Alligator mississippiensis: one gene and its partners. The protein of the gene in region 1 interacts with the protein of each later gene in a pairwise test. Links are inferred from orthologs where the notes say so. Each region holds a gene or a part of one and is shown on either strand. Other genes may lie near its edges. The genes, in order: RNF5, YIPF2, UBE2W and INSIG2.

Region 1 (6,839 bases):
TGTGTGCAACATACCCACACAGTGTAGAGCTACGCTTTGCTCAAACATGCTGCGTGAGTGTGAAACAAGCATTTCTCTGCTACTTGTCAAACACCGTGTGCATTTGCGTATAACAAGCAGTTCTATGCTCATTGCTTGCTCAAATGCATGTTTGTGTGCAACACACACTATTTACTCAGTGTGTGTGTGCATGCATATAAGCAGAACTATGCTATCAGTGCTTGCTCAAACACTCATGTATACACACACCTGCAGCATACTGTTACACTACCATTTGCACGCACACACACACACACACACACACACACACACACACACAGTGACCATGTGTCCACAACACACACACACACACACACTGGACCAAGCTACACTATTTGCTCAAACCCACTGCATGTGTGCATGTACACATGCACAAGTGAGTGCACGTAACTTTGTACGCTAGTGCAACTGTGGCAGAGCAAGTACATATCACTCACTGCATGCAAAACAATGTTCTCAGTACACGTGGTTATTCACACACGCACACATGCACAGCAAACCGAACCCTGCCCAAGCCCTGTGCATGTGTCAACATGCCCAGAGACACACACCTGCCACACTCCGACCCGGTGCCACACACACACCTCCCTGCCGCAGGGCTGGAAGTTCCCGACACACATGTAGGCGTGCACACGCCTGATCTTCCACCCCACCCTGCACCCGAGGGGGGCCTTGTCCCAGACTCAACCCCAGCCTGGGCCTGACAACTGCAGGGGGATAGGGGCCATGGCAGCACACATGGTAGGCAGGTGAACACATGCACATGGTGTGGATTTACACACACAGCTATGGCATGGGCCGTGGCACGCACAATAGCAAGCCACAGGGAGCATGGGAAACCTGTATGCATGCACAAACACACACAAGAACACAAATACACGCACATGCCACATACACAAATGAATACACTCGTGCACACACAAATACGCACGTGAATACACACACACACACACACACGTGTGAATGGATGGACACATGCACAGAATCCAGGCATCCAACACACACACAGAACCCAGGCACCCAGGACACACACGAGTACACATATATGCATGCACATGCCAGCATATACACATGCACACACAAATACACAAACAAGTACACATTCACATCTGCATGTGAATAGACACACACACACAGAACCCAGGCACCTGGGATACACATGTAGAGGCCTGTGCCCCACACAACCATCACACACACTCACACAAGACTTGTACTTCCCAGCACAGTGCTCCACATCCCTCACATGCCATTACCATCACACACATACACAGACACAAACACACACAACGAGGTGAGCATTGTACCCCCAACAACACCCAAGCATCACACACAGAGTACCCTAGGCCCCACATAACTATCTCACACGCACACAAATTTTACCAAGCACAGTTCCCCACAACTCCCCACTACCATCACACACCCCCCGAGAACTGTACCCCACAACACCTTACAAGTATCTGTCTGTCTCACATATACATGCACACACATGCACGCGTGCACACACACACACACACAGTGGCCTGTACTGCACACAATGGCTCGCAACAACACACACACACACACACACACACACACACACACACAAACTGTACCCCCAGCACTGCACCCCACACACCCCTACCATCACACACAAAAGTGAGAAGTGAACCCTGTGCAACACCCCACAAGCATCTCTCTCTCTCACACACAAATTATTGCTCCCCAGCACAGTACTCCACACTACCCATAACACTCTGCTACCGTCACACACACAGGTGAAAATTGTACCCCTCCACAACACCCTACATCACACACACACACACACACACACACTGCCCTGTGCCCCACACAGCTGCTCACAACCACACACACACAAGAACTGTTTCTCCCCAGCGCACACAGAACCCAGGTGTGGGGATACATACACACAGGTGAAAATGATACCTGCATAACACCCTGCAGGCTTCACACACGCACCAACTGTATCCCCAGCACAGTAACACACATTTCTCCCAACACCCTCCTACCATCACACACACATGCAAACCTGAATCTCATGCATACGTGCATGCACACAGAAGTTGTGCCCCCCCAGGCACACATACCCAGTGCCCCTCACAAGTGCCTGCAACTATCACAGTTGCACACATGCACAACCCCACATCCCTCACAACCCATTACACACAGACACACACATGAAGGAGTAGCCATCACAAACATGTGCAAGTCAGACCCCTCTGGATGCACACACACACATGAACACAACACCCCATGACCCTCAAAGGCACTCATGGTTACCACAGAACAATTGTAACCCCCCCGTGCATGCGCGCGCGTGCACACACACAAACACACACACACACAACCCAGGCATCTGGGACATGGACATACACCTGTCAGGCACCCTGGACACAAATGTACACACACAACCATGGCACCCTGAACACACACACACACAGAACCCAGATTCCAGAACAGGTGCACGCACGCGCACACACACACACACAACATACAGGCATCTGGAACACACACACACACACACAACCCATGTGTCCAAAGCACACGTGTGCACTCATACACGCACAGAACCGAGGCACCTGGGATACGTGCTCACACATGCACACACCACAGGGGTCCAGGTCGCCCAGACCCCACTGGACCCCACGTCCACCCGAACCCCTGAGCCCTGGAGCTGGGGGGGGAGGGGGGGAGCAGGACCAAACCATCGCTGCAGGGGAGTAAAGGGCTGCCCCTGCCAAGGCTGAAGCAGGGTACCACCAGCCCCCCCCCCGCTCGGGGCAGCCCCTCCCCCACCCCGAACACCCCCCTTAGCCCCCATCCCCCAGGGTCCCCCCCCTCAGGCCCCCCCAACCGCAGCCCCCCATCCATCCACCCCCGCACCTGGCCCCGGGTGGTGCGGGTGGGGGCGCTCAGGGCGGCGGGCCGGGCCGGGCCATGGCGGCAGAGGATGCTCGGGGAGGGGGGGAGGGGGCGGAAAGGGGCGGGGCCTCACACCGGAAGCCGGGGGGGAAGGTTGGGGGGAGGCGGCCAATGGGGCCCGCGCGCGCGCCTGCCCCCGGACCCCGTGACGTCAGCTCCCTCCCGCGTGCGAGCCCCGCCGCCCTGCCACGCCCCTCTACGGACCCCCACCCCAATGGGCCCCGCCCCTTCCCCACGCCCCGCCCCCTCCTGTTGCCCCGGGGGCGGGGCCTGGGGCTGCCTCGGTTGCCATAGAGACGTGGCGGGGGGGCACTCGAGGGACACCCAGGAGTGGGGGGGTGCCCAGGAGAGGGGCAGTTGCCATGGTTACCGTGGCCCCCCAGTGACCGTTGCTATACCAACGTGGCAGGGCGGCCAGTCGGGCCCCAGGGCAAAGGGGGACTGCTGCCATGGCAACGTCGTCACGATGGCGACGAGGCCAGGCCGTGGGGGAGGGTTGCCAAGGTGATGGAGGGTTTGGGGGCAATAGCAAGCAAGGGCAGTCGCCATGGTGACACAGCAGGGGTGCAGTTGCCATGGTGACGGGGCAGGCCCGACCAAGGCCAAGTGATGGTTGCAGGAGTGACAGGACTGGTTGCCAGGGGCGGGGGGTGGCGGTTGCCGTGGTGACGGGGCTGGCAGGGACAGACTGTGGTTGCTCCAGTGACAGGGCAGTTGCCATGGTTCCAGGGCGGCCATTTTGCCTCGGTCTCTCCGGCCGCTGACCGCACCTCGGGCTTCACAGCGGACACGTGTGCCCCGCCCCCACCGGCCTTCTTAGCCAATCAGTGGCCTTTCCCTCGCCGCCCGCTCCTCCAATCCCTTCCGCAGTCCGGAACCGTTATGGGCGAGGATTGGCCTAAACGCTTGTTAATTACAATTACTCCCCCTCAGCCAATCAGTCAGCATGACAGAAAGAATCCAGGCCAATAGAATCCTACATGTCCCTGGGGGTCCCGCCTCACTTATGGCTACTAATAATTGGATTATGGAGCTGTTCATTCAAAGTTTCTCCGCTCCTGCCCGCACCTTACCCCGAAGCGACCAATCACGCGTCGTTTACTCGTGATTGACGGGAGCCGGCACCCATAGGAAGCGGGTGAATATCCTACACGCTGAGAAGCTGGGACCCAAGCCGCAGTGACCAATGAGCGTGAGGCAACGTGTGATGGACAGCAAATCTACCCAGTCAGCCACTGGCAGAGGCGTGTCCTCATCTGGTGGTAATGCCAACTACCCTCCCGCCAATCATATTCGCCAGTTTCCTTGAGAGGCAGCGTCACCGGCCACTGAGCGGGGGGCGCGGCTGATTGGCGGCCCCGCTGGCCAATGGGACCCTTGAGAAGGAAGGCGGTGGCATTTCCCCTCCGGGGGTGGGGCGGAAGATGGCGGCCGGGACAGGCCCGGGGGTCCCCGATGGGGGCCCCGAGGTGCCAAACCGCGACCGCAGTGCGTTCGAGTGCAACATCTGCCTGGAGCCCGCCCGGGACGCCGTGATCGGGCTCTGCGGGCACCTGTACTGGTATGGGGCGGGGCCGGGTGGGGGCGTGGCCTGGGTGGGGGGCTCTCATGGGGTGGGGCAGGGGGAGGGGCCTAGCTGTGGGGGAGGGGAGGGGCCTAGGGAGGGGGCGGGGCGTAGCTATGGGTGGGGGAGGCTGGAGTGGGGGTGGGGCTGGCGCGAATGGGATGGGGGGAGGAAAGGGGTGGGATATGGTTGGGGGTGGGGCCGGGAGGACGGAGGCGGGGATCGGATATGACTGGGGAGTGGTCTAGTGGGTGGGGGAGGGGCTTAGGGTGGGGGAGGGGCTAGCATGGGTGAGTTGAAAGGGGGGGGCCTCAAGGCCCACCCCCATAACACTCCCCCCCCCTCCACACACCTTGCAGCTGGCCCTGTCTGCACCAGGTGAGTCCCTCCCTCCCCCTCGTCCCCCACCGCCCCCGGGGCATGATGTGGAGCAGGTGGGGGAGTCGTGGGGGGTCCCTCACCCCCTCTCCTACCCCCCACGCCGGCAGTGGCTGGAGACACGGCCAGAGCGGCAGGAGTGCCCCGTGTGCAAGGCAGGCATCAGCCGTGACAAGGTCATCCCCCTGTATGGCCGTGGTAGCGCCGGGCAGCAGGACCCCAGGTACGCAGGGTTGGAGGGCATTTACAGGGCAGGAGGCACCTGGCTTCTGCCGCCCTGATGCCCCATCTCTGCCCCTGCCCAGGTTGAAGACCCCTCCACGGCCGCGGGGCCAGCGCCCGGAGCCTGAGAGCCGTGGGGTGAGTGAAAACGGCCACCTGCCCTTCTTTTGCCCCCTCACCCCCAGCTAATACCCTGTGTCTGCAGGGGCCACCACCGCCTGTCTTCCCCGACACTGGCTTCCACATGGCCTTCGGCATCGGCGCCTTCCCCTTCGGCTTTTTCACCACCGTGATGCGGGGCCCTGACGCACCAGCTGGTAAGAGACCCCCTGGCACCCCAAACCCAGGGTCCTTGCACCCTGTTTTGGGCAACCCTTATGCTGGCAGACTCCCACGCCCTCCCCACCCCAGGCTGAGCTCCCCCCACATCAGGATGACTCCCATGGACCCCCCGGGGCTCCCCTACCCCATCCCACACATGCCCATGGGCCCCCTTCTGAGTACCCCCACATGCCCCAGGCTCCTCTCCACCCTCCACCCACCCTACACTGGCACTAGTCCCCCCCCGCCAGCCTTCCCCTCCTCAGTTTACAGCAGTGGGGGCAATTATTTTGGGTGGAGGGCTGCTTACTGAGTTTGGTAAGCCATCAAGGGCCACATGACAGGCAGCTAGGGGCAGATAAATATTAATTTTCTAAATTTTTTAGGGGCACCATGGGCCGGATAGAATGGCCTGGTGGGCTGTATCCAGCCCACAGGCCACATTTTGCTCACCCCTGATTTACAACATCTCTCTCCTCCCCCCCCCAGATGCAGCTGCTGGCCCCCGGCCCTCTGGCTGGCAGGATTCGCTCTTCCTCTTCATTGCCATCTTCTTCCTCTTCTGGCTTCTCAGTGTCTGACCCCCCCCCTCCCCTCCAACGCACCCCTGCCATGGACAGGCAGGGGTTAACCCCTGGAGGGTGGGGCTACAGTATTCTAGCAGGGTTTCCCCTTTGCCCCTCCCCCATGCGTGGGGGCATGATGTAGTGGCCAAGGGGCAGGACTTGGGGGGTTCCCTAAGGGCTAATAGGGGGGAGGGGCCAGTTCAGGGTTGGCCTCTGCTCTCCCCAGTGATCCCCTGCTGGCCGGGCCAGGCCCTGGTGCTCCCTGCACATGGGGTGGGGGGAGAGAGGGCAGTTCTGGGGCATCTGTGAGTGTTTATGGGACAGGGCAAATCAGGGTGACCCCACACCCCCCCATGGCAGGGGGACCAGGGGTGTCATTAAAGCACTGGTGATTCGTACCCTGGGGTATCTGGACTCTCATTAGGGGAATGAGGCGAGAGCAGATAAGACCCCGGGCTGCGGGCTAGGAGTGAGAGACACTGAAAAGGGCAAGGGTAGGATCTACCATAAGTTGTTCCCCTAGGTCTGGGAGTTTACTCTGGACCCCACTACCTGTGCCCCCCTGGGGGGAGTCACTGAGATGGTGAGGGGTTCCCTTGTTTTGGGGAGATGAGGTGGCTGGTTGTGGGGTCCCCCCACCCCAGGGAGCCAATCCAAAGCCATGGAACAGCCTCCCGCACCTGGAAGAAATATATTTTATTACATAAGCCAAGAAAATACAACCAATGGGGGGTAGGGAGCCTCCCGTGACCCCCCGCAAACAACTTAGAGGGTCTGTGCCCCCAAAAACTAGGTGCTATTGGCTGCGGAACCCACAAGACCTCAGCACA
Region 2 (7,690 bases), on another chromosome or scaffold:
CTGAAAATGTTTTAATTTTCCAGATCATTTCTCTGTCGATACAGTGGAAGGAAGGATCCACAGAGGATGTGATTTTGTTAGCAGGAATCACCCCTTTAAGGAAGGGATTTCAAAGCTTAGAGGAGTTTCTTTGCTAACTCTGTTATAGGTGTATGCGTAGGATTCACTATCTGATCATGTAACCTGAATTAATTATTCAAGAACTGTTTGAGGAGACATTTCATATTTGCATGCCTTGCATAAAACTATTTTAAAAACCTGTGAACGTATTCCTAACAAATCAATTTACTTTTAAACAGATGGGCCTATAACTCTTACTAAAACACGCAATGGAAAGACATGATCAAAATTACTGTGGCTGAGCTCAAGCCTCTGACTCAATTCTGAATTGGATGCAAATTTGGCTCCAATAGGAGCATGGAGTTTATCCAGTCTGGGGATGAGACTAGAAATGCTTATAATGGAGTGCTCTACCATGCCAGATTTGTCCCCATGTCACATAGTACTGCTACGCAGCAAGTTATTTGGGTCACAACTAACACCAGGACCTGCATCTGCAAAGCCAGTGATACCTAGAAGCCCCCTCCTGAAGTGTGACCTCAGAGCTACTCATGAATAAATGCTTCCCTCCCTTACATGTTGGGGGCTTTAGACACTAGAAGTATTTTAACACCCTCCTTGCTTTGTTTTTTGTTGTTCTATCTGGGAACCTCTATTTCCAGAGCACCTGACAGACTCCTTTAAATAAAAAAAAAAAAAAAAAAGGCTGAGGGTGCACAAATCAATCTTTTCCCTGGCCACAGCCTGATGTGACTACTATACACACTTGTCATTTATCTTGCTTTTGCTCACCTGGGTCCTCCATTTCTCCAGAGGACAGAAAACTGGGGAGACTAGAACAAGGCCTATTACAAGCTGTGTAAGGTCCAACTTTGCTAAAGAGAACCAGGTTTTTAATAAAGGAACCAAGCTCCCCAAAGTAGAAAGGGAAGCTAGTAAGTGAAAGGCCTGCTTGAGAAACCAGTCAAACAGCATGAAATTAAGCAGCCAGGAGCCATAACCAAATGAGAACAGCAAAAAAACCAAGATGGGAACCCTTGGCTACTAAAGCACCAATTTCCCTTCTCTGTTTATGGGCAGTTACCTCCAAGCTGAGGGCTAGGCAGTATTTTGGCCTTTTGAAAGCACTTTGGTACTGAAAGGACTGAGTGTGTGCGCAAACCAGGACTGCAGTGCTAATGTTTGTTCCCCCCACTTTTTTACACAAGCCAGAGCTGCAGATGGATTTACTAGTGAACTGGCGGCAGCAGCAGCAGCAAGTCAAGATGTCCCAGTGCTGGAATGCCATGCAGAGATTGAGAGGACAGAAAGGAAAGTTCCTGGGTAATATTTACCTTGTGCTTTGTCACTATGCACACACTGCATTTATCTCTAGGTATGTCATGCATGCAACACTTCTGCTTTTACTATTCCATTTGTGTCTTTTCTAGACAAGCTCTTCTGCTTTAAATTCATGGCCCACTTGAATTGGAATAACTTTTCTGGGCAGATGAGCCCTAATCCTCTCTCTCACACACATGCTGCATGCATTGTAGATCCAGGTCTTGACTCCCTGCCCCCTGGCTGGGGAAGCAAGAAGTGGGTGGAGGAAGGCAGCATGAAGCTCTCTCTTTGCCCCCCCCTCCCACCCAAACTCAAGGGCAGTCCAAAAGCTGCTCACTCTCACTCTACTTCCTGGGGAACAGAGAACAGTGACAACAGACCACACCTATGGTTTACCCCCTACCTCTGGGCTTGGGTATGGGGCTCTTGTACCAGCTGGGGAAGCCCCAGCACAGCAGAGTTCTCAAGGGGCCATTTCTACCCCCACTGCATTGTTATGTTGGCTGAAGAGGGCACTTCACAGAGCCCAGAACACCAAGCTGTGTGCATGGGCTCAACCCCTCCCCCCACTGTCAGTGTCTCTCATTCATCTTTAAAAGAGCTGGAGCGTAGGCTGAGCCATCACAATCAAAGAGAATCAAACAGAAATCCCTAGGCAGCAGATGCCTCTAAGACCCCAGCTCCTGCAGTTGCTCAATCAATTATTCAATAGGTTAATAAATCATTAGAACAGGATATTTTAAGAGCCCAACCAGCTCCTGAATGTTGCCTTCTTGTTCCAGCTCAGGTGCAGAACAGCCATCCTGTCTTGGGGAACTCAGTTTATCTTTTGCTTTCTCTGCCACCCCTTCACCAAAAGAGGTAAGTGCCTGTTTCTTTCCCGACCCACTTCTGTTGTACTCTGGGCTAGCAAGAGACACCTTTTTCAGTCTTAGCAGCTCCATAAGGGGCTTCTCTAAATGCCTGTGAACTGTGCACTGCCCGCCAAGTCATAGCAGGTCCATGCCCCTGGGCTGCCTCCAGGTTCAGGGAGAACTGCAGTGGGAATCTCTGCACCTTTGTCTGAGAGCAGCAGTACCAAGGAGTTTTCCTTAGCTCTTTAGCACCCTCTGCTGTTCCCTGAGGAGCTGACAGAAGGCTCAGACTTGGGTTGGGGGCTACAATACAGCTGAGGCTCTATGCAGAGGATAGAAGGCAAACAAGACCAGCCCCCTTGGAAGTGATGCTGCTTGGGCCACCTCCACCCCAAACAGACGTTTTGGCTGATGTTGCCCCAGATGCCCTGGAGCCTCAAATACTCCCCAGTGACCAGGGGCTTTGGTTTCACCTCATTCCAACTATCACAGAGCTGCAAAAGTCACGTGGGCCCTAGCGGATTATCCACCCAAAAGCAAAGGCTTCCCTTTATGACTCACCTGCCCTGCCCCCCAAAACTGGGCTGGGCACTGGGGGCAGCAGCAGCAGCTCAGAAAGGAGCGTGCCTGTACATGCCACCTGTACCATTTTCAAGAGCACATGGGTCCCTGTTACCAGTCTCCCCTCTGAGCACTGGATCTGAACTCATCTAGAAGAGACAGAAGCCCTATGGAGCGACATTACCCTGGAACACCTCTAAGCCAGTGGTTCTCAACCTTCTTCAATTCAAGGCACACCTTGATAGAACCTTGGAAGAGGTCAGCTCTTAGCTTCCACTTGATTTTTCTTACACAAAAATCACGGAGCAGTTTTTCTGTTGCAGAAAACACAGAAAGATCTGAACAGGTCAGAACATTTTGCCACTCTGGATTAATACTTGAAACCTTTCTGCTTATCTTGTCAATCCTGTTTGCATGTCTAACAGCACTAACATTGTGTAGCACCTCTGAAAGGATCTTAAGATGCCCCAGAGTGGTGCAGGGTCCCAATCAAGAATCACTGCTCTAAGCACTGGGTTGGCATGGTACCCACAAGAGGCAAGGCAAGCCCATGGATAACGCATCCCATAGGTTAGTACAAAAATCACAGCAAACGTAAGAGCCTCCGCATCCTCTTTATTGAATGCCAGTGCCACCAAGGCTGGGAAATCAGCATGCAACAAGGCTGAGGGGTCCAACAAGAAACAATCCCATAGTAAAACCTATCTGAGCTTCCATATCCACCCTGGCTCAAGCAACCGCTGCTTGGTTCAGGTTACTGGTTTGTGACCCCCTGAGGCAGTGGCTGCATCTCCCTCTCTGCCTGCTCGATTTGTTCCTCTGTCAGGACAACAGGCTTGTATTTCTCGCCGAACAGTCTCTCATTAGTCTCCGAGTGGAGGTTCTGGAAGGAGATGATGCGGAGCTGCTCTGGAAGGTTCTGGAACTCCTCATCATTGATGTCAGAGTCCTTCATTTTGGCATTTAAAACCCACCAGCGCCCCCAGAACCCCACATCCAGGATGCGGCCTGGAAACTCTGTCCAGCGCGGCTGCAGGTGCTTGCACTGAGCCAAGTACAGGTCGGTCTCTGCGTCGAAAGGGGCCTCATACACCAGGGAAAAGAAGACCAGGCTCTGGTAGCGCAGCTGCCCCCAGTTCCTCAGCTGCATCAGGCGCTGAACGTGGCCCTTGGAGGTGGTGTTGCAGACCCAGGGGGAGAGGAGGAGCAGGGTGCCAGAGGCCTCGAGGAGGGAGGCATCGAAGGAGGTGTCGCTGGGGATGCGGAGGCTGCAGGCGGCTGCCCCGGCCAGCACCGAGAGGTAAAGCCCGGCTTTCCCGGGCCGTTGCCGGGCACCCACAACCACCTCCTTACAGGCTTCCACATAATCGTGCAGGAGGCTCTTCCACCACTGGCCTGCACAGGGGCAGCAAGGTCAGATGCTGCTGGCTATCAAGGGCCCAGCCCACCAAGGGGCGGCGGGTGCCCGCGCTGGGGAAGCCGACGCTCTGGGAGGGACCTGCAGCTACGCGCGGGGCCGGGATTAGAACCGAGAAGTCCGGGCTGCCAGGCCCTGCGCCAGCCCCTCCTCCCGTGGGAACCCGGGCCGCTGCCTCCCCCCCGGAAGAACCCAGGCGTCCGAGCTGCCAGGCCCTAGCCCCAGGAACCCAGGAGCCCTCCCCCTCCAACCTACCCAGGCGGCTAGCGCCGAGCCGCCCCCAGAAGCCGCGCCTGCCCCCCCGATCGAGTCCCGCGCCGCTCGTGGTGTCTGCTACCACCGCCATGGCGCCAACCGGAAACTGTTTCCGGCCGGAGGGGAAGTGGTGCCGGACCGGACGAAACCATCCCGGAGCTCGGGGGGGGGGGGGGCGGTTCCCCTTTCCTTTCCCCCCCCCCCCCCCCCGGGAGTGCGCGCGGCCAGGCCGGAGAAAGGGACACGCAGCACTGGAGCGGGGGGTGCCCGGCTTTGCCAGGACACGTCACTCCTCCCTGTCGTGCTCCCCTTGCACAGCAGGGCCCCGCCTCGGGGTGTCTCAGGAGCTCGCGCCTCAGTTTCCCCCACTCCCCCCCCCGGCCGTAACAAGCCTTCGTCTCCCCCAGGAGCCCGGGGTGCGCTGATGCTATGGCGGCCTCCGACCAGCTCCGCTTCCACGGTGAGCAGGCGGCCGCCCTCGGGGAGGTCCCGCCGGGCCGCGAGGGGACCGGACCCGGCTGCAGCAGGTGTTTTCCCTCCTCCCGCGAGGCCTTGGGGCTCTGGCGCCCCCAGAGCCCGGCCGGGCCCCGCGCCGCCCTCGGGCACTTACTGGGCGGTTGGCACGAAGCAGGGACGGACCCGCTGCCCTTGGCTTCCTGCCTCCTGGGACCGCGGGTACCCCCCGGCAAACCTCCCCCTGCCTCTGGCCGAGAGGCTCTGGCTGAGGGAGCCTGGCGTCTGCGGGGCATCTGCCAGTCCCTCATCCACGCGCGTATCCCAGCAGTTTTCCTGGGAAGGGGCACGGCGCTGGCTGGTGTGCTGTTCAGCACCCCCCCCTTCCCCCCCCCCCCCCGAGCACTTGCTAGCGGCCCTTGAGCCTGCTCCCTTCCTTGTTTTTTCTTTCGTTGCCCCAAATACTCTCGTTAGGTCTTCATAGGTTTGCCTAGTGGAGGGAGGTTTATAGCTCCCGGGTGAGCCAGGCCCACACTCCTCTGGGCATAACAAATAGGTCTGCCTAATGGAGACAGTGTGGTCTGGCAGTTAGAGCATAAAACTGGGACCTGGGTCCTTCTGGCCAAGATAGAAGTACCTTCTGTATCATCGTAACGAGGGTGATGAACTCCCCAGCTCCTTCAAGGCATGACACTGGGAGGGTGCAGGCTCAGGAGTGAGGGGCTGGACTAGGCAGTGGCCCCTGAGCCCTGGGCTGTGATGGCTGGCGCTTTACCCCTGCAGAATTTGATGAGGCCGCCGACCTGCTGGCTGCAACCCCCGATGCAACAACCACCAGTGTCAGTGAGCGGCAGAGCCATGTGGCCCTGGATGTGGGCTCCAGCTATGACGAGAACGAGGAGGGCGATGAGAGCGATAAGACAGAGGTCGGGGGCAAAGCTAGCGTGCATGGGCAGGAGGGTGGCAGGACTAGTCTGGAGGGGAGTGCTGGCTCCAGGTCGGGCCCAAGGTTGGCTGGGGCAGGGAGTGTGCACTAGTGGAATAAAGAGCCCTTCACTTCCCAGCCCTAGGTCCAGATCCAGCCTGGGCAGCTGTGCCTGGGCTGTTCCCAGCTGCTGCTAGCTGTGGAAGCCATCGGGGTCCAAGTAGATCAAGTATTTCTACCTCAGTTGTGGCTCTCTCTGGAGATGGGGCTCCTGCCTGGCATGCTGGGTAATCCCAGTTGCTTGGAGCAGCTGGGGTGGGGTGCACTGGTCTGGGAGGGAGCTGGGCTCACAGTTGGAGGTGCTTGGGGTTCTCTGTGGGTAAGGCTGGTGGGGCCGCGTGGTAACATACATTCCCTTCCTCGCAGCTGCTGAGCGGCCAGAAGCAGCCACCAAGTTTCTGGACCTTCGAGTACTACCAGGCCTTCTTTGATGTCGACACCTACCAGGTAATGGAGCCTGCGCCCTTGTGGGAAGGCAGCATTCTGACACAGGCAGTTAGAGATGCTGGCAGGAATGAGTCCCATAGATTCATGGGTTTCTCAGCTCCCAGAGGCTTTGTACATTATTAGGTATAGTATGGTAGCACCTGAGAGCCTCAGTCGCAGGCCAGAGCCCCATTGCACTAGGGACTGTACATTATGTATTATAATCATATTGGGAAGCCCCCACCTAGGACCAGGATGCAGCTTTGCTCTCTGGTTGCTGCCTGGTGAGCCCAGAAAGCTGCCTGCCTCACTCCACTCCTGCTTTCTTCACTGTAGGTGCTGGACAGGATCAAGGGATCGCTGCTTCCACTACCAGGGAAGAACTTTGTGCGGCATTATCTACGGAACAACCCTGACCTGTATGGTGAGCCCAGAGGGGGTCCATGATGTGGGGCAGGCCAGGGCAGTGCAGGCTGAGCCCTTTTGGCCTCCTGTGCCCCAGGGCTCAGGTGCCATCCGTCAACCAGAGCAAAGCAGGGCATCTTTGGTCTCTGGCTTCTGCCCCAGCCTGGGCTCAAGGTCGCACTACCCTTGGCCTCTTCCAGGGCCCTTCTGGATCTGCACTACGCTGGTGTTCACACTGGCCATCAGTGGCAACCTGTCCAACTTCCTGGAGAAGCATGGCAACACCTCCTTCCGCTACAGCCCCCAGTTCCACAAAGGTGAGGGGTAGGTATGGGACAGGCAGGCATGGGCCAGGCCCCATGAGAACCCACCAGGCTCCTGGGCAAACTTGACCCCTGCCAGGCACAAAGCTTTAAGTGAAAAGAACCTAGGAGTCTTGGCTCCCAGCCCCAAACCACAAGACCTCCTTCCTCTCCCAGTTGTGGGGGGAACCCAGGTGTCAAGGTCCTCGGTTCCCCCTGCTCTAACCCACCAGACCCGTCCCTTCCCACAGCTGGGAGAGAACCCAGGAGGCCTGGACCCCACCTCTTGGCATTTGAGTCTCAGCTTTGAGCTGATTCACTGTTGGCTGCTTTGCTGTCCTAGTGCCTGTAGCATGTACCGTGGGTGGTGGTTGTTGGGGGGGGGGGGGAACAACACAAAAGGCCCCCCCAGCTGGCTGGCTGGCCGGCCGGCCGCAGAGCACTGGGTGACAGGAGCCCATCCATTGGCAGTGACCATTGCAGGCGTTGCCATCTATTGCTATGCGGGGCTGGTGCCGCTGGCCCTGTGGGGCTACCTGCAGTGGCGCAAGGGTGTCTGCCTCAATGTGGCCTCCTACACCCTCCTGGAGACTGTGTGCGTCTATGGCTACTCCCTCTCAGTGTACATCCCTGCCTCGGTGAGTTTCCT
Region 3 (7,575 bases), on another chromosome or scaffold:
TTTTTTCTTTTTTTTTAACATTGCTAATATTTCTGTGTTTAATTCACAAAACTCTTGATCTTCCCTAATTTTGCTGCATGTGCTGAGGGTTTAAAAATCTCTGGTAGCTTTCATAATTTAAGGTAAGTGACTGGGTTATTGAATTTTAGCAGACTTTTTCCTCTCCCTAAAACACTGGTCACTACACAAAGTCATTTTTAATTATTGTTTGCTTTTAGTTACTCCAGTTTCACTCTCCAAGCTTCATGTCAGATCCTTCATTGTCCAAACATAGCCCAACTATCAGGATAAAAACAAAAGGCGAAGAGGGGGAAAATAAAAACAACATATTTCAGACCATCCATGTACATCTTAAAATGCCAAAAAATTAAAAACAAAAAAACACAAGCCCATATTTTCTATTTTGGAGATCACCTTTAAATGACTGGAACAGAGATGATGTCCATATTAAATACATTTACAGAAAATACTGCATAAAAAGTTTCAAAGATCAAATAAAATAGAAGTCTAAAGTGAATAAGCATGCTCCTGCTTTGTCAAGGAAATTGCATCCATCTCAAAAAATCTGAGGCATTTTGAGGAGTTATTTACTTTTGTTGCATGCAGCACCAAGAATTAACTGCCATAACTGCAAGATTATAAACAATGAAAGTTTCTTCTTTACTTTGAATACCTGACAAAGCTTTGTGTATAATCAGTTCCCCCCACTTTCACAGGTCTTTCAAAACACAGGAGGTGCTTATTAAGGAACCACAAAATAAGACTGGACCAGAATGGAAGATGTGCACTACCTGGAGACACACATGCACATCAAAATTATACTTATAAAATAATTTTGAAGTTTATGAGCCTGTTTTAAATCAAAACATACCCTTCCGACTTGCAAATTGCCCTTTAAAAAAATTAACAGAATCTAAAACATTTATAACATTCCCCAGAATTTTAAAGGTTCCACACTTAACAAGACTGAAATGAGTAGTGTCCATAATATACTATCAATAAATGCAGATGCCCAAGAGAATAGTATTTATTACATTAAAAAAGAAAAGAACTAACTTCCTCACTACCATATTTTCAAGAAATAGGTATTAGCCAGAAGACTTATTACCACAATTTCTCACATATAACCCACAGCTTTTTCCCAAATGCAACTGGGAAAAATTGGGGTGTACATTATTAACAAGGAAAAGGACTCCTCACAAATCTGGTTTGTTTGGGGGTTTTTTTTGGGGGGGGGGGGGGGGGAGAAAGGGTGGAGCAGTGGTAGCATTAATTACCCTGGTTCTGGGAACCACTACAATTAACATTGCCACTGCTCTTCACTCTTCCCCAAATTTCCCAACCTGTGGAGAGTCCTTGTCCCCAGTCACATGCTGGACTGGGACAGTGCATAGGGTTGTCCTACAGCTGGAATTGGTACACCAGGTCCAACCCACCACATGGTCCTGGACCCAGCACATGGCTTCAGATCCAGAGTGGTCAGTCTGGCACCATGTACAGCCAGCGCTCAGGGTTGGATTTAACCTGCAGCCCTGCCCTGCCAAGTAGTCCCAGTTTCGGCTTGCTGAATCCATCCCCACTGCACAACAAGTCAGATCGGGCTAGCCCCAGTCCCAGCCTCAGAGATCCCCAGATACCTGGTACTTACCTGTACTCCAAGGCAAGATTCCTGCCCCCCCTACCCCCATCTTGGTGCCTTCCAATAATAAGGGGCATATTACTCACGAAAATACACTACTAGCACTGTAACTTTTGACCTGTTGATCTCCCTAAGCTCCTTAATTATTATCCCTCTTTTACAGAAAAGGAAGAAAGGTGATGGGTGGGAAGACAGTTAAACAAGCTCCTGAAGGACATTTAAAAGGCATAAAGAAACAGAACTCTAGCATCTCAAGTCCCACAAACTGCCTCCTCCAAGTTTCACAATCGATACTTCCCCATATCTGCACCAGGTTTTGAAACAGATCATTGCCCCAAAATTCTGTTTTGCAATTAGTCAAAACTGGGCTGCTTGAAGAAATGCGAGCATAAAATCATCCAACACTTCAAACATGAATGGTCTCACACAGCTCTTCAAGAAACTGGAAACAAAGGACTGACGAGTCTCTCGGACTAGTGGATTACTTGGGGCATTGCTAAATCGGGAATATTCTGTGCTGCGTGTTCAAGCTTTCTGCTCCCTTTCATCTGAAATGACTCAAAAGACCAGAGGACTTCTACCCCTTTCCTGCAGAGCTCTCCACAAGCAAAACCTGAGGACAGTTTCCCCAACATCCCCAGTTTAAGGTTGGGGCACTTAGCTCCTGTTACTCCTACACAGGTGCACAGCTCCTGGTCTGGTTTGCACTTCCCTCCCAGGATGGGGCATCCCAGGAGCCAGGGCCAAGGCTTTATGTGGAAGGAGCTTCGCTGGACCAGAGGATTAGGAGTAGAGACAACCTTGAGAAAACCTAAGCCAGCCAACTGAGAAGATGGTTCCAGGTGGGAGGAGGAAGGGTGGGCATTTCTTTTCAGAGTTAAGGGAGGACTTTGGAAAGGAAAGCCAAGAAGCTGCAGGCCGGCGCCTGACAGGGACGGGCGGGGAAGCCGTGGGAAGCAGCCACCGAACCACCCAGCCCCGCCAATGCCGCACCGCGCAGACGCCGCCGCTTCCGCGGTCAGCACCCGGGCCGTAGAAGGACCCGCCACGGCAGCGGGCTGCGGCCCAGCCCGACGGGGAGCGGAGCGGGGCCCCCACGGCGCGCAGGGCCCCGCCCCACCGGGCGCTCCCAGCTACCCCCGGCCCGGCCCGGCCCTGCGGAGCAGAAGGCGCCCCTGGGAGCAACCTCCACCCCCGCACCACCAACCGCTGGCACCGCCAGCCCTCAGGGAGCTCCGCCGGCCCGGCGCCGCCGCAGGCTCCTCACCTGCATGGACGCCATATTGGATCCTCCCCCTCCCCTCTGCGCCGCCGACCCGACCGCTACAGACGCAGCGCCGCCGCCGCCGGGTCACGTGGGCCGCAGCCCGGGCACCGCGCATGCGCCGTGGCGAACAGAGCCCCACGTGCCTCGAGCTGCACCAGGCCCTGTCTTCCGAGGAGCCCGGCCTCGCCTTACCGTATTGCGCAGTGTGTAAGGAGCGGGCCGCGGAACACGTCGGCCCGAGCCCTGGAGGAAGGAGGGCAGCTGCGCCTTCTTCACGGCTTGTGCAAGGGGGGGGTTGGCTTTGCATGGCCTGGGCTGTCCTCATCTGGCTCCAGGCCACAGCAAACAGGTGAAGGGAGCTGAGCAGTGATCCCAGGGGCCATGCATCCTGCCACAAAGGTCTCTAACGTGTGGCTGGTCCGGGTCTGCAATAAGCCTCTTTCAGCCCACCCCCCGCCTTGCATAATTAAAGTAATGTCTGCCAGGTTAAAGACAGACTGGTTCTGGGGAGGCATAAGTTTTCAGAGGCAACCAGCTACTTCATTGGCTCTGCATTAAATCAAGAACATCTTTGTAGCTGGCTCCCCAATATATCACATGGGAAATTAGCTGGATGGGTGGCACAGGACATTTATTGTACAATTCACAAGTCAGTGCTGTGATACATGCAACACCTGCTGGGCCTGAAAGGCCTGCCCTGCTCTGTGCTGTACTCAACTTCATGCTAGCGTAGCTAGCTACCTCACCTTACCACACAGCAATGGTAGAGGAGCAAAACCTGCTCTGTGCCCCTTCTAGAGCAGTAGCACGATCCTGGGAGGTTTTTGTACTGTTAATTAATTAATTAAAATAGTTTTGCCTAACCTGCATAAAATGAACTGCCAAACAGGAGATTTTAGCACACCTTTAACTCTTCTATGAAATATGAACTTTCATTTCTATCTGGAAGAACTTTTACAATCTTTTCTCCTGTGCCTAAAAAGGCATGCTTGTGCCCAAAAGCTTGAAATTAAAGAATTTTTTTTTCAAAAATCTTGTTTATTAGAATAACTATGTCTCCTCTACCATAAGTTCTGATACCTGTTGCCTCTAGACCAATATGGCTGCAACCCGGATACCTTAAAATGGTTTCTGCACTGATGTTCTCATTCTTGAGTACTGGACACTAATAATATCACTGTAATGTATTTGCTTACTTTCCCAGGTTTTGAAAATGGAGAAAACAGGGGCAGGGCATGAAAGGGAACACCTTTGTGATTTGAACTAAAACAGTAAGTGTGCTAAGTTATAGTGAATCAGCTGTCTCAGAAAGGACAACATTCATTGATTTACAGGCAGCAGGGAAATAGTAAATGCATTTAAACTTGGCTGTGGAAGGAACTAATAACCTACTAAAAGTGAGACTGAAAAGGTGTGGGGGATAGGGGCCTTGAAGACATCTAGAAACATCTTTACACTAAAGGAAATATAAAGATGACCCTCAGTTATTTCAGTTTCTAGCTCAGTTTCTTCTAACTCTCGTGTATCACCTCCTTCTAAACACAGCATGATCAAGCTCATGGTAATGCCCCACCAACACTGATGATAAAACTAATGCTTCCAAAAGCACATCAGATCTCACACACAGCTAGTGCAAGTGTGCGCTGCTCTGATGATGCTGTTGGAGTCGGACTGATGCATAGAAGCTGAGGCTCTGGCCACCTACATTTTACCTGAAGGTCTTTTATCTACATGCTGGCAGATTCCACTGAAGTTTATGTGATAACATTTGACAAGATCATAATTCCAGGTGACATTTGTGTTACACTGAAGTGATTGGTATAAATACCTTCAGTTTGCTGTACTACTTTTGAACTAAATTGCGCAATTAAAATATTAAATGCAAATTGTTGTTACTGTTCCACTAGATTAAGTCATTTGACACATATACATGTTATTCTAAAAAGCATTCCTTGATGCAAAACGCCACACATGTCAAGAACACTAAGGTTAGGCAACAGACACGTGCTTAGTTAAAAACATACTGATGGTTAGCCAACAAGGGTGTAATGACAGTAAAAAATTATTTGAATCCATTATAATCAACTTTTGAATCCTGTGTTCCAGAAAACCTAGCTCAAGGTCAAATGATAAGAGGTGTGTGCAAGGCTGCTACGCCTCAGTGTGCAAATCAGATTTTCCTTTGTATGACAGTGTGGAATCAGAAAAAATATATGCCTTAAACTTTGATTATTTTAGTTATAAGATGACATAACCGCTTTGTGTAGAATTGCTGGCTCGGTACAGTAGAACAGATAAGGGCAAGTGTTTGTTCTTTGTAACTCTTCTGCAAATGCTTCGCTCACCGCGGCCTTGAAGGTAGAAAAAAAAAGTATGTACAAAGTAGATTTCCAGGTGCAAGAAGGAGGTTTGTGAACTAACCCTATCTCCCCCATAATTCCCATCCTGATAACAGCAAAGAAATAATGAAGTAATATTATAGCCGCTTTTCATGCTAATTTCACTATATGATCACGTGAGTTGTAAGCGACTGTTAAAAAGTATATAAGCCTCCTGATTTTGCTCTTGGGGGGGGGGACCCCTTCCAAGTGCTTGGGAAATCCATGTCACTTTGGAACTCCCCCTACAGCTGTAGTTTCTTTTGAATAAAAGCTTCTGCTGACCTGACCCAAAAGTACTCTGTGTGTGTTTCCACGACAATTCCTGGTGCCGTGACTCGGATCCAGAACACAGGCTGAGGAAGGAGGACCGCAGGCTACCCCCCCCCGAACCCTGAGGCGCCAAACTTGAGAGGTAAGAGACCTAATTCAAAATCTCTATTGGGGTTTCGGAGGAGGACTGCCTGTAGGCTCCCAACTTGGCCGTGATAACTGGATCTGAACCTTGTTAAAACAGGTCAGTCTGAACCTTACTGCCGGCTAAAATTTTCTGTCTGGTAAAGGATCCCATTTTGTGTCTGGTAACGTACGTTTTAGGGAGAAACTGTTTGAGGCACCTTCATCCAACAGCACATCGGGCTTGTAGTTAATTAACTAAGGCGGTGTGGGGTAGGAGGTCTGGCTGACTGAATAAATGTGCATGTGTGTGTGTATTTAGAAATATGAGCCACTGACCAGGACTGAGACTACGGTTGGGCTCAGCCGCCCCAATTCTGCCTGACAGGGCAGTTTTGAAAGCAAGGGGGCCCAACTGGAACCTCGTGACCCAGTGGACAGGGCGTCTGAGTGATTTTGTCTTTTCCAAACCCCTCGTCCCAGTAGCTTCTGCCGAAAGCAGGAGTGAAAGGATCCCTCTAGTGTTTCCCTCCCCATTTCCATTTTATGAGCCGGTGTCGGGTCAGAAGCCTTTTGTCTGGGCAGTGAAAAACTGCGGGGCAAGGCACTGAGCGGCCCGGACATCCTAAATAAGCCTCTCCTACATCTCCCTGTGTGACTGAAAATGGGAACAAGTCAGTCTAAACAGGTTCCTGTCCCCCCTAAGGGGACTCCGGCGTACTTTATGTACACACACTATTCTCCCGTGACTTGCAAGTACTTGAATAAGTGGAACTGGTATACTAGGGATGATCCTGTGAAACATTTTCCACAGGAAGGAACATTTGATCAGGATAAAATAGTGCACTTGAGAGGGGCGTTAGAGTCCCGTGGATCCAAAACACCACAAAACCAGTGGGACGCGTTCTTTTATTGGTATGATGAAATGTCCAAAAGGCGGACAGAATCTCAAACTAGGAGCCTAAAAGACTCTCAAGAAAAATTAAAACAGCAGTTAAAAGCTGTTCGGGAGAAATTGGCTGCTCCCCCAAATTACACGCTGGCCACCGCTCCGATGTATCCAGCATTGCCCGGGGCGCCCCCACCACCGGAGCCAGCAGAGGATATCCTTGACCTTTGTTCGAACCCTGCTCTCCTGGGACTCCCACATCAGCAACAACCGGTTCAACATCAGGCTGCAGCCCAGGCTAGTGACCCATTAGCTGAAGCTCCTTCAGTAAATCCATCCACGGAGCTTAATAGTCCGGACTCATCCACCATATCTGCCACTAAATCATCACCAGTGTGGCAATTTACTCCTGGGTCACAACCCACCACAGGTGTATTTAGAAGAATGGGAATAGGCATGAAAAGATCTCCCATCAATCTGAGATCCCGAACTGCACAAGTTTACCCCCTAAGACAAATGCCAGGCATTGGCACCGATGGACAAAATATAGTAACTGTGCATGCACCCTGGACTCCAGGTGATCTCTACAATTTAACTCAAAAGTTCCCAAAAATCAGGGAAGACCCAGAAAAATTTCAGGAAGAATTGCAGACTGTTATAAATTGTTATAATCCAACATGGGCTGACATTAATCAGCTCATGCGATCCATTTTGCCCAAGGAGACTATGCTACGTCTGTACGCTGCCTGTACTTGGCCAGATCAAAACCCAGGGATTGGCCAAGACTTTATTGACAAGAGAAATGCTTTGGTTCAGACAGTTCTCACAATTTGCCCAAAAAAGGCAGACTGGACCAAAATAAATACCTGTAAACAAAACAAAAATGAACACCCCAGTGACTATTTAGAACGCCTCAAACAGGCATTTGAACGATACTCAGGAATGGATAACCCAGTCGAAAATGCTAAACAAACAATAGTGGCAGCATTTGTCCAGGGACTTAACC
Region 4 (7,988 bases), on another chromosome or scaffold:
TCAGAAACAAGCTCAATGTTCTCTACTGACCATGCTAGAAGACTTTTCTGAATGCAGTTGAGTGAGTGTTCATCTTTCCTGCCCACAGGTAATTGGTATTTAACACAGTATTTCACATGAATTGCCCTGTCTTACACCACTTATGCTTTCTTATCTCTAGCAGAGGGAAACAGTTTCTGAGCAATTTTAGCATTTTGCTACAGCTCTAGAGATGTGAGTTTGAGACTCACCAAAGACTGTCCCCAGCTGTAAATGGGTACCTGGCTACTCAGGCTGGAGGGTGCCCAGATGTGATCCCCAAGTCTTTAGTTATTTTTTTCCAATCACAATTTGCTCAGAAGCCTAGCATATAATTAAGGTTGAGCCAATGGACCAGTAGTTCCAAAATAAGTCTCTGCTCTTAACAATAGGTACCATCCAAAATAACTTTCTTCTCTTAACAGTTACCATATTTGCCATGCTACAGTTGCTGTATTACTTCAACTGTAAAGATGTATTAAAAATACCTGGTACTGGACATGCAATTTCATGTGGCAGTTCATGTGCCAACTTCATGTGGCAGTTCTTTAGAACATCTTTCAATGTTACTATTATTAGGAGTGCTTGAGATTTGTTGTCACCCTAATTTTTGTGTTATTTCCAACAGTGCTAAATGAGTTTAAAACATAACCAGATCAGAATATTAACAGATCTCATTGCTAATGTGACTTGTTAACTGAATGAGAATCAGACAAGGCATATTCTAGTTTATAGAAAATAAGCTTCTCGTAGATATTTTCTCTTATACTTTACCTGGATTTTCTGGTCAGACAGCTCACTTAGCAAAGCCCAGCCCTAACCTAGGACTCATGTCTCTGCTGTTGATACTGTGCTATCCTCTTAATTAATTATGTATCACTGGCATGATATGAAAGATAATAAACCTGTCTTACATTTTTGGTTTCAACAGCACTGCATCAGCACTTCATTGCATTAAGAGACTTTTTCCTTTAAATAAGAAAGTGGAAGTTTATCTTCATTGCTGCCATTGTAATTTCACATCATGCTTGCCCTCAAAGAGGGGGAGACAGAAGAACAAGACAGGGAAATTGAGAATCAAGTAAAATGAAAGACAGGGAGAGTGGCAAGTGACCTGTGTCAAATTAGATTAGTGGAATAAGTCACTCAACCTCAAAACAGCTGTGGGACCTCCAAATCAGACTGTGACATTGCTACACAACTTAAAGAGTACAACAGAAAGCATGAGATGAAAGGGATAGCAGTTTGTAGTTATAGTTACTTGACAGCTATAATTCACCTGTAATCATGCTACTAACAAAGCAAACTCTAAACCAGTGGTTCTCAAACTTTTCTTTTCACAGACCACTTGAAAAGTGCTGAGGCTATCAGCGGACGACTTAATCTCTGTCGTCAGAAAAAATAAATCAAGTGCAGGGCCAAGTACAGATATTCTCAATTGTTCCACAACCTTTCTGCAGACCACCCGAATGGAGCTCACGGACCAGCGGTGGTCCACAGACCACAGGTTGAGAACCTCTGCTCTATACCAAGCTCAAATAATTTTATCTAACTGCTCTGATTAATGAAATTTCTAGTGCAAATGCAGCAATACACATTGTGAATGTGCTTGTAAAAGCCAGCATCTTTTCTTGAGCTACTACCACAGTGTATTGTTTAAGCAGGAGAATACGCCCCCGAGATTCATTAATTCTAATCCTACGCTGACTTTTTGTAGCACTTCATAGTGAGTCACCTTACTTCTGCTCCTCAGCTCCTCCACCTGTAAAGAAGAGTTAACAACCAACTCGGTACCTTTCAGGGTTTGCACCACGATCCTCACATAGGTCCGATGTATACAGACTGCATTATCACTTAGCCTCCTCTAATAAGAGAGACATGATCAAGATCTTTTGAGTCAATTATGAACAACATCTTTGGGAATAGGAAGTATGAAGGTATCACACACACAGGATAATTGAAGTCTTGTTACATTTCATCCCAAATTTCTATTCCTGTCTAAACTGGGCTATCACAGGTTGAATGCTGAACCTACAATATGGTTGAACCGTTGAGCTTTCTTCTTTTGAAAATGGAAATTCAAAGCCACCTTAGTCAGGGGTGGGGGGGGGGGGCACGTGCCCCCCCTAGGGACCAGTCACCAACTGGGGGCTGTCCCCCCCGGGGCCAATCTCCCTGCAGGCCCCCCTCCCCATCACCTAAGCGGGGAGCGTGGCCAGTCAGGGTGCACGTGCACCCCCGACGCGTCGCCACGGCGCTAGCAGAAAGCGACAGAGACAACGCCTGTGAGGAGACAGCTTTCGCCACACTTCATCCTTTCCGCGACGTGCTACTTCAACGCAAACTTTTGCACGAGGGCATGCACACGTGACCAGGCAAGATGCTCCACGCCGCGCAAATTAACTTAACTGCCACCATGGATGGCTTACAAACACCGCGCGTCACGGCATCCACCCTCACGAGCACCTCCAATCGCTTGGCACAGGGGTGGGCAACCTCCAGCACGAGTGGCACGGGACGGCCGAGCGGTGCGGGGGCTTGACATCTGCCAAAAGGAGGGTAACTTGGCGCCAGCTCCCACGCGAATGACTCCCCAAATTGATGGTGTCCCTCAAGCGAGGAGGCGAGGCCGGGGGGGACCCTCAAAAGCCGAGGGAGCAGAATGGGCCCCAGCGAGGCCACCTCAGGGCCCCACATCGCAGGGGGCTTCTCCCCAGAGCTGGGACAGGCCTGAGACCCCCCACCAGCTGGAGGCCCCTCAGCCAAGGGCTGCCCCAGCCTCGCCCCTGACACCGTGTCCAAGGCCCGGGCGCCTCCCCCCGGCGGACAGGCGATGCCGTCCACGCTCAGCATCATCCCCCACCCCCCAAAGCCCCCGCGCCGCCGCCGCTCACCCTGCTCCGCCATCTTCTCCCTCCCCCGCCTCAACCCGCTGCAACTGACTCGGGGCGGAGGGACTTCCGGCCGGCCGGAGGGAGGGGGATTCGGGGCGGAGGGACTTCCGGCCGGTTGCCTGGGAAGAGGGAGGGAGGGAAGTCGGGGCGGAGGGACTTCCGGCCGGCAGAGGGGAGCTGGGGAGGTCGGGGCAGCTGCGCTTCCGCTGCAGTCGAGTGGTGCACGTGGGAGGGGCGGATTGGAAGGAGAAGGAGAAGGAGAAGGAGAAGGAGAAGGAGAAGGGGGAGGGGGAGGGGGGGAGCAGCTGCTTCGGGGGAGTGGTGCACAGGGCAGTTTTTTTGGGTAGATCTGAGGTTTTTTGAAAATGCAGGAAAGGAGGGATGCTTTTGTCCCCCCCTGCAAGAGGGTGAAGCCTTGTTCACACGGTGCTTCTCCTGCAGGGCCTCCCAGGGGTGTGAGGAAGGGGTGCAGGCGCTGCAGGACATTAGTACATGTAGTGCAGCCGGGGGGAGAAGGAATCTGGTCCCTGACAATGAGCCAGAAATAAAGTCAGGTCTCCCTTTTGGTGCCTGCTGCAGCCAAAGTTTAAACCCCCCACTGCCTGGCAGCAGTGTTTGTGGTGGGGCGGCGCTGAGGAGTCGCCTGACATCATGGCTCATTGAATCTGAGGTCTTCATCCTCTGGGGTTAAGGACCCTCTCTTCTTTTGAACTGTCTTTGAACGCACCCAGCAAGCTAGGTTTTTGGTTGGCCCAAGGACATCGGCAGGCAAGGGTCTTTGAGTCTCTTTCTATATGCACGTTACCCAAAGACCCTTGCCTGCCCCGGTCAAGCCAGCCTTTCCTCCGCCGCTCTGCCCTGTTTTTGCTGCTCCTGGTAATGAAGCTCCTATTTCACAGCCCTGCGGGCTATTTTCAATTCCTTGCATTTGTTTCTGCTCTAACCTGAAACTGAATCATACAGCCCTAGGTTCCCAGTGTATTGGAAAAGCTAGTTTCTTTTTTAACTTCAGGAAAAATGTGTTTTGTTTAACAGGTGACGATGCACCTCACCCTGGGCACCCCACCTTTTCAAAGTCTAGATCTGGCTGTGAACGCAGCACGCGCTTTTTTTAAGGTACATAAAAACTAGAAGCTTTACAAGAGGCCTAGAGCTATATTATTCAGCTGAAGATCAAAGCAAAAACAAATACATGCGTATTGGGACGCGTATGAATTCGCTGTGTTGTATATCGTGTACAGAGCCAATCTTAGGCGTGTGCAGGGCCCAGGGCATATCAGCCTGTGCGGGGGGACATGGCGGTGGAGGGGTTGGCGAGCGGTGGGGAGAGGGAGTTGGGAGCGGCTGGAGCAGGGGTGGGGGGGTGGCCGGAGCAGCGTGATGGTGCCCTCAGCACATGCCAATGGCACTATCTGCAGGGCCCCCCAAAGTATGGGGTCCGGGGCGGTGGTCCTGATTTGCACCCCCCCCCCCAAGGGACGGCTCTGATCACGTAAAAACATCACAACAAACTAGGCAAAAAAGAAAGAGATCGAGTGTGTTTCGTTAGTCCTGTAGTCACTAGAAATATATGTACAGATCTCTTTCAGCTTCCTAAAACAAAATCTAGTCTTCTTGAACATCATGACAGTGCAACCAATACTTCACTGAAATGTATTTTCATGCCTAAGTTAATGTTTTTAGCTAAAGACAGTCAGCAGGCCTCTGAAATAGGAACTACATTACCAGGAGCAGCTAGTAGGTAGTGGAATTGCAAAAGGAAGATAGTTCAATTATTTGATCATAAGGGCCATTACAAAGGAAAGGAAGTTGTTTAACACCTGTGGTATGAAAAGTTTAGAAGGAATCAGGTAGATTATAATGAGGCATGAAGATAAGTGATGCCTTCACTGCTGCCTGAATAGAGATGCTGCAGCCTCTGCCAGGCAGTTGATTTTAAACTTTGGGTAGACCAGGAATTAAAGGAGGGTGGGGAGTGACTGCCATTGCGCCTCCCTGTAATCTGCTCCTGGATCTTTTCAAGGGTGCTGTGGGGTGCCATGCAACGTTAGCACCCTTAGGTGTGCAGATGTGATTCACACGATAAACCCAGAGATTTCAAATAGGCATCCATAGTGTTGAAAAGATTCTGACTTGCTGTGGGCTTTCTGAGTTCTTTGCCACAAAACAATTATTCTGTTATTTTTCCATAGTCAAAAACTTGGGTAAAAAGTAAGAGCTGGTGTTTTCTGAGGGCTGCCTAGAGCAGAATGAGAGATACCTTGAGTCTAAAAAGTTTGAGAACTACGGGAATGAGGAAACCACCATGAAGTAACAACACGGGTGAGAAGAGAAATGATTATGTAAAGAATGAATAACACTAAAACATAAAGCAGCAAAGAAATGATCCTGAAGAACTGCTGTAATAAAAGTGCAAATAAATCATAACATAAGCACTAAATGCCCTGATCATGTGAATAGCTAAACACACACACACATGCACACACACAAGCTCTTTACATCCACTGCAGCACCAGTGATTTCTCTTAAACCCAGTTGCATTGACTCAAATGAGATTAGATGCAAGAGAGAGGCCAGTGTTTTCGATCAGTGGTTTTCAAATTGTGTTCTACCTGGGGTTCCAGGAGGAGGTCTTGGGGGCTCCATGGAAAAAAATTGGTAATAGCAGACAAGTTTGTAAAATATACTTATTGTTAATTATTTTTTGAAATTTTGCAATTTGACTCTTGTGTTTCACTTACATGACCACCTCGTGCCTCCTGAGGCTGGGGGAGGCACGGTGATCGCCCACAGGTGGCGGTGTCAGCGGCGGTGGCGAGTGGGGACCTCCTGCAGGCAGCCACAGTGATGTCAGCAGTGACGGCAGGCTGAATGGGGACCCTGGCAGGTGGCCGCGGCGGTGAGGTGGGGGGGTGGCTATTGGTGACCACCCGCAGACGCCGCCGGCAGCGTCGGCAGTGGGGGCTGGATGGTGAGTGGCTACCCCGCAGACGCCATCAGCAGCAGCCAATCTCAGGGGGGTGCACGTGTACCCTCATGCACCTTCTACGCACCGCCAATGGTGACTTATTGATAAAAAAACATTAACTCAGTCTTTCTAACCCTTTCTGCTGAGACGATCCATGCCATATGTTTTATTCATAGGACAATAATACGATATGAGATTTGCCCGCCTTGTTTTGATGGACAGTTTACAAACAGAGGTACATGATCGAAATCTGGCAGCAATGTAGGCCTGGTGTTCCAATGTGATTATTCTGTCTCTGCGTCGTCGTATTTCAATCAGTCAGTTGACAAGTGCCTTGATGTCAGAGCAGTGTTGAACTGTCTCTTAATATTTTATATTTTTGATTTACCAAGAAAAAGTATGGATTGGTGACTGAAAACAGGCAACGTTAAGAAAAGTAGTCAGGAAAAATGCCAGATTTCAATACAACAGGAAGTAATTACCAGTGCTTCTATTGTTATATGTGCCAGCATATCAAATCAGTCACAAGCTCTTTATCCAGTGAGCAATGAATCAAAAACCAAAACATAAGTACCATGCAAGCTACATTAACTATGGTTTTACTTGGACTGGTGATAAAAACAAGACAGATGGACAGTGTGTTGAGTGTGGACAAGTTTTGCCTGACAGCAGCCTGAATCCAGCAAAGTTACAAAAGCTTCTGGAGGCAAAACACCCACAAGTTAAAGACATGCATGGTGATTATTTTAAAAGGAAATGTAACAATTTTATTAAAAAATCACTACCTAATGTTATTTTGTTGTTAAGACAACAGAAATGCTCTTGAAGGATTCATAAATTCATAGATGTTAGGGGCTGGAAGGGACCTCACGAGATCATCAGGTCCAGCCCCCCTGCACTAGGGCAGGGAAGACGACAACTGGGGTCAGATGACCCCAGCAAGGTGTGCGTCCACACGTTTTTAGAGATCTCCAGGGTAGGTGTCTGTACCACCTCTGGAGGGAGTTTGTTCCTGACCCATGGCACTCTGGTCATAAAGAATTTTTTACTTATCTCCAATCTGAAGCAATCCTCAATCAGTTTGTGTTCATTGTTTCTTGTCTTCCCTTGGGGTGCCTTGGTGAACAGATGCTTCCCCAGACCCTGCTGTATGCCCCTTATATACTTACAGGCTGCCACCACGTCCTCTCTAAGTCTTCTTTTCTCCAGGCTTAGCAGTCCCATGTCTTTCAGCTTCTCTTCATATGACCTGCTCTCCAGACCTCTAATCATGCGCGTGGCCCTTCTTTGGACTCTTTCAAGCTTCTCCACATCCTTCCTGAAGTGCGGCACCCAAAATTGGATGCAGAACTTCAGCTGCCGTTTCACCAAAGCTGAGTAGAGCGGGAGGATGACATCCTTAGTCTTGTTTCAGATGCATCAGTAGATGCACGCCTGTGTTTGATTAGTTCTGCCAGCTATGGCATTGTACTGGTGGCTCATGTTCATTCTGTGGTCTATTATGACCCCCAGATCTCTTTCAGTTGTGGTGCTGGCAAGCACAGTACTGTCAAGCCTGTAAGTGAGTTCTTTAATTGCTAAGGTGGATGATGTGCATATGATTGCTGAAAATTTAGGGAAGCCATGAACAAAAGGAATTTTAACTTGCACAATGGGTGAAAAAATTAAGAAAGCTCATTGCTATTATTCCTCATGCAGACCATACAGTTTCTCACCACATCAAAGATCTTTCTGATCACTGGCAAGCAGAGGTAGTTGTATAAAAAATAGTCCTGTTGGGTTTTTTATTCAACTAGATGAATCTACCAAAGAAGAAGGATTGGCTATCTTGCTCATAATCGTGTGCTATACTTTTTAATCTTCTACATGCGGACCTGCTGTTGTGCTGCCTGCTTAAAACAAGTACAAAAGGCAAGGCTATATTCAATATCCTTAATTGTTTTATGCAAAAGAATATGATTAACTGGGAACTTCGTACAGATGTTTGTATCAACAGTGCAAAAGTCATGATGGAAAAAGTCAAGGGTGTGGGTAGCGTGCATTAAAAATGTTGCCTCTCATGGAAAGCAGACATTGTAGTCTACATGGACTTGCTCTTGCTAGAAAGG

What was found.
Region 2: the proteins of RNF5 (region 1) and YIPF2 interact in binary tests that used the Homo sapiens proteins (3 or more experiments, as listed by UniProt). The two-hybrid records come from large-scale screens. The link is inferred for Alligator mississippiensis from reciprocal best matches to the Homo sapiens genes RNF5 and YIPF2.
Region 3: the proteins of RNF5 (region 1) and UBE2W interact in binary tests that used the Homo sapiens proteins (3 or more experiments, as listed by UniProt). The link is inferred for Alligator mississippiensis from reciprocal best matches to the Homo sapiens genes RNF5 and UBE2W.
Region 4: the proteins of RNF5 (region 1) and INSIG2 interact in binary tests that used the Homo sapiens proteins (3 or more experiments, as listed by UniProt). The two-hybrid records come from large-scale screens. The link is inferred for Alligator mississippiensis from reciprocal best matches to the Homo sapiens genes RNF5 and INSIG2.

The regions. Positions count from the first base shown.
Region 1 is NC_081834.1:62,662,358-62,669,196, reverse strand, and holds RNF5 (E3 ubiquitin-protein ligase RNF5), read left to right. Parts: upstream 1-3,832; 5' UTR 3,833-4,382; coding exon 4,383-4,519; intron 4,520-4,881; coding exon 4,882-4,900; intron 4,901-5,010; coding exon 5,011-5,123; intron 5,124-5,205; coding exon 5,206-5,260; intron 5,261-5,327; coding exon 5,328-5,439; intron 5,440-5,932; coding exon 5,933-6,024; 3' UTR 6,025-6,407; downstream 6,408-6,839. UniProt on the Homo sapiens protein: Membrane-bound E3 ubiquitin-protein ligase that mediates ubiquitination of target proteins. May function together with E2 ubiquitin-conjugating enzymes UBE2D1/UBCH5A and UBE2D2/UBC4.
Region 2 is NC_081831.1:23,571,217-23,578,906, forward strand, and holds the start of YIPF2 (protein YIPF2), read left to right. Parts: upstream 1-4,675; 5' UTR 4,676-4,894; coding exon of another isoform or gene 4,895-4,899; coding exon 4,900-4,930; intron 4,931-5,706; coding exon 5,707-5,849; intron 5,850-6,274; coding exon 6,275-6,355; intron 6,356-6,670; coding exon 6,671-6,758; intron 6,759-6,939; coding exon 6,940-7,056; intron 7,057-7,512; coding exon 7,513-7,679; intron 7,680-7,690. Other genes in the region: TIMM29 (mitochondrial import inner membrane translocase subunit Tim29), read right to left, coding at 3,553-4,193, 4,471-4,561.
Region 3 is NC_081826.1:58,930,802-58,938,376, reverse strand, and holds the start of UBE2W (ubiquitin-conjugating enzyme E2 W), read right to left. Parts: upstream 3,016-7,575; 5' UTR 2,922-3,015; coding exon 2,907-2,921; intron 1-2,906. UniProt on the Homo sapiens protein: Accepts ubiquitin from the E1 complex and catalyzes its covalent attachment to other proteins.
Region 4 is NC_081827.1:242,412,168-242,420,155, reverse strand, and holds the start of INSIG2 (insulin-induced gene 2 protein), read right to left. Parts: upstream 3,002-7,988; 5' UTR 2,913-3,001; intron 2,558-2,912; exon of another isoform or gene 2,485-2,557; intron 1-2,484. UniProt on the Homo sapiens protein: Oxysterol-binding protein that mediates feedback control of cholesterol synthesis by controlling both endoplasmic reticulum to Golgi transport of SCAP and degradation of HMGCR.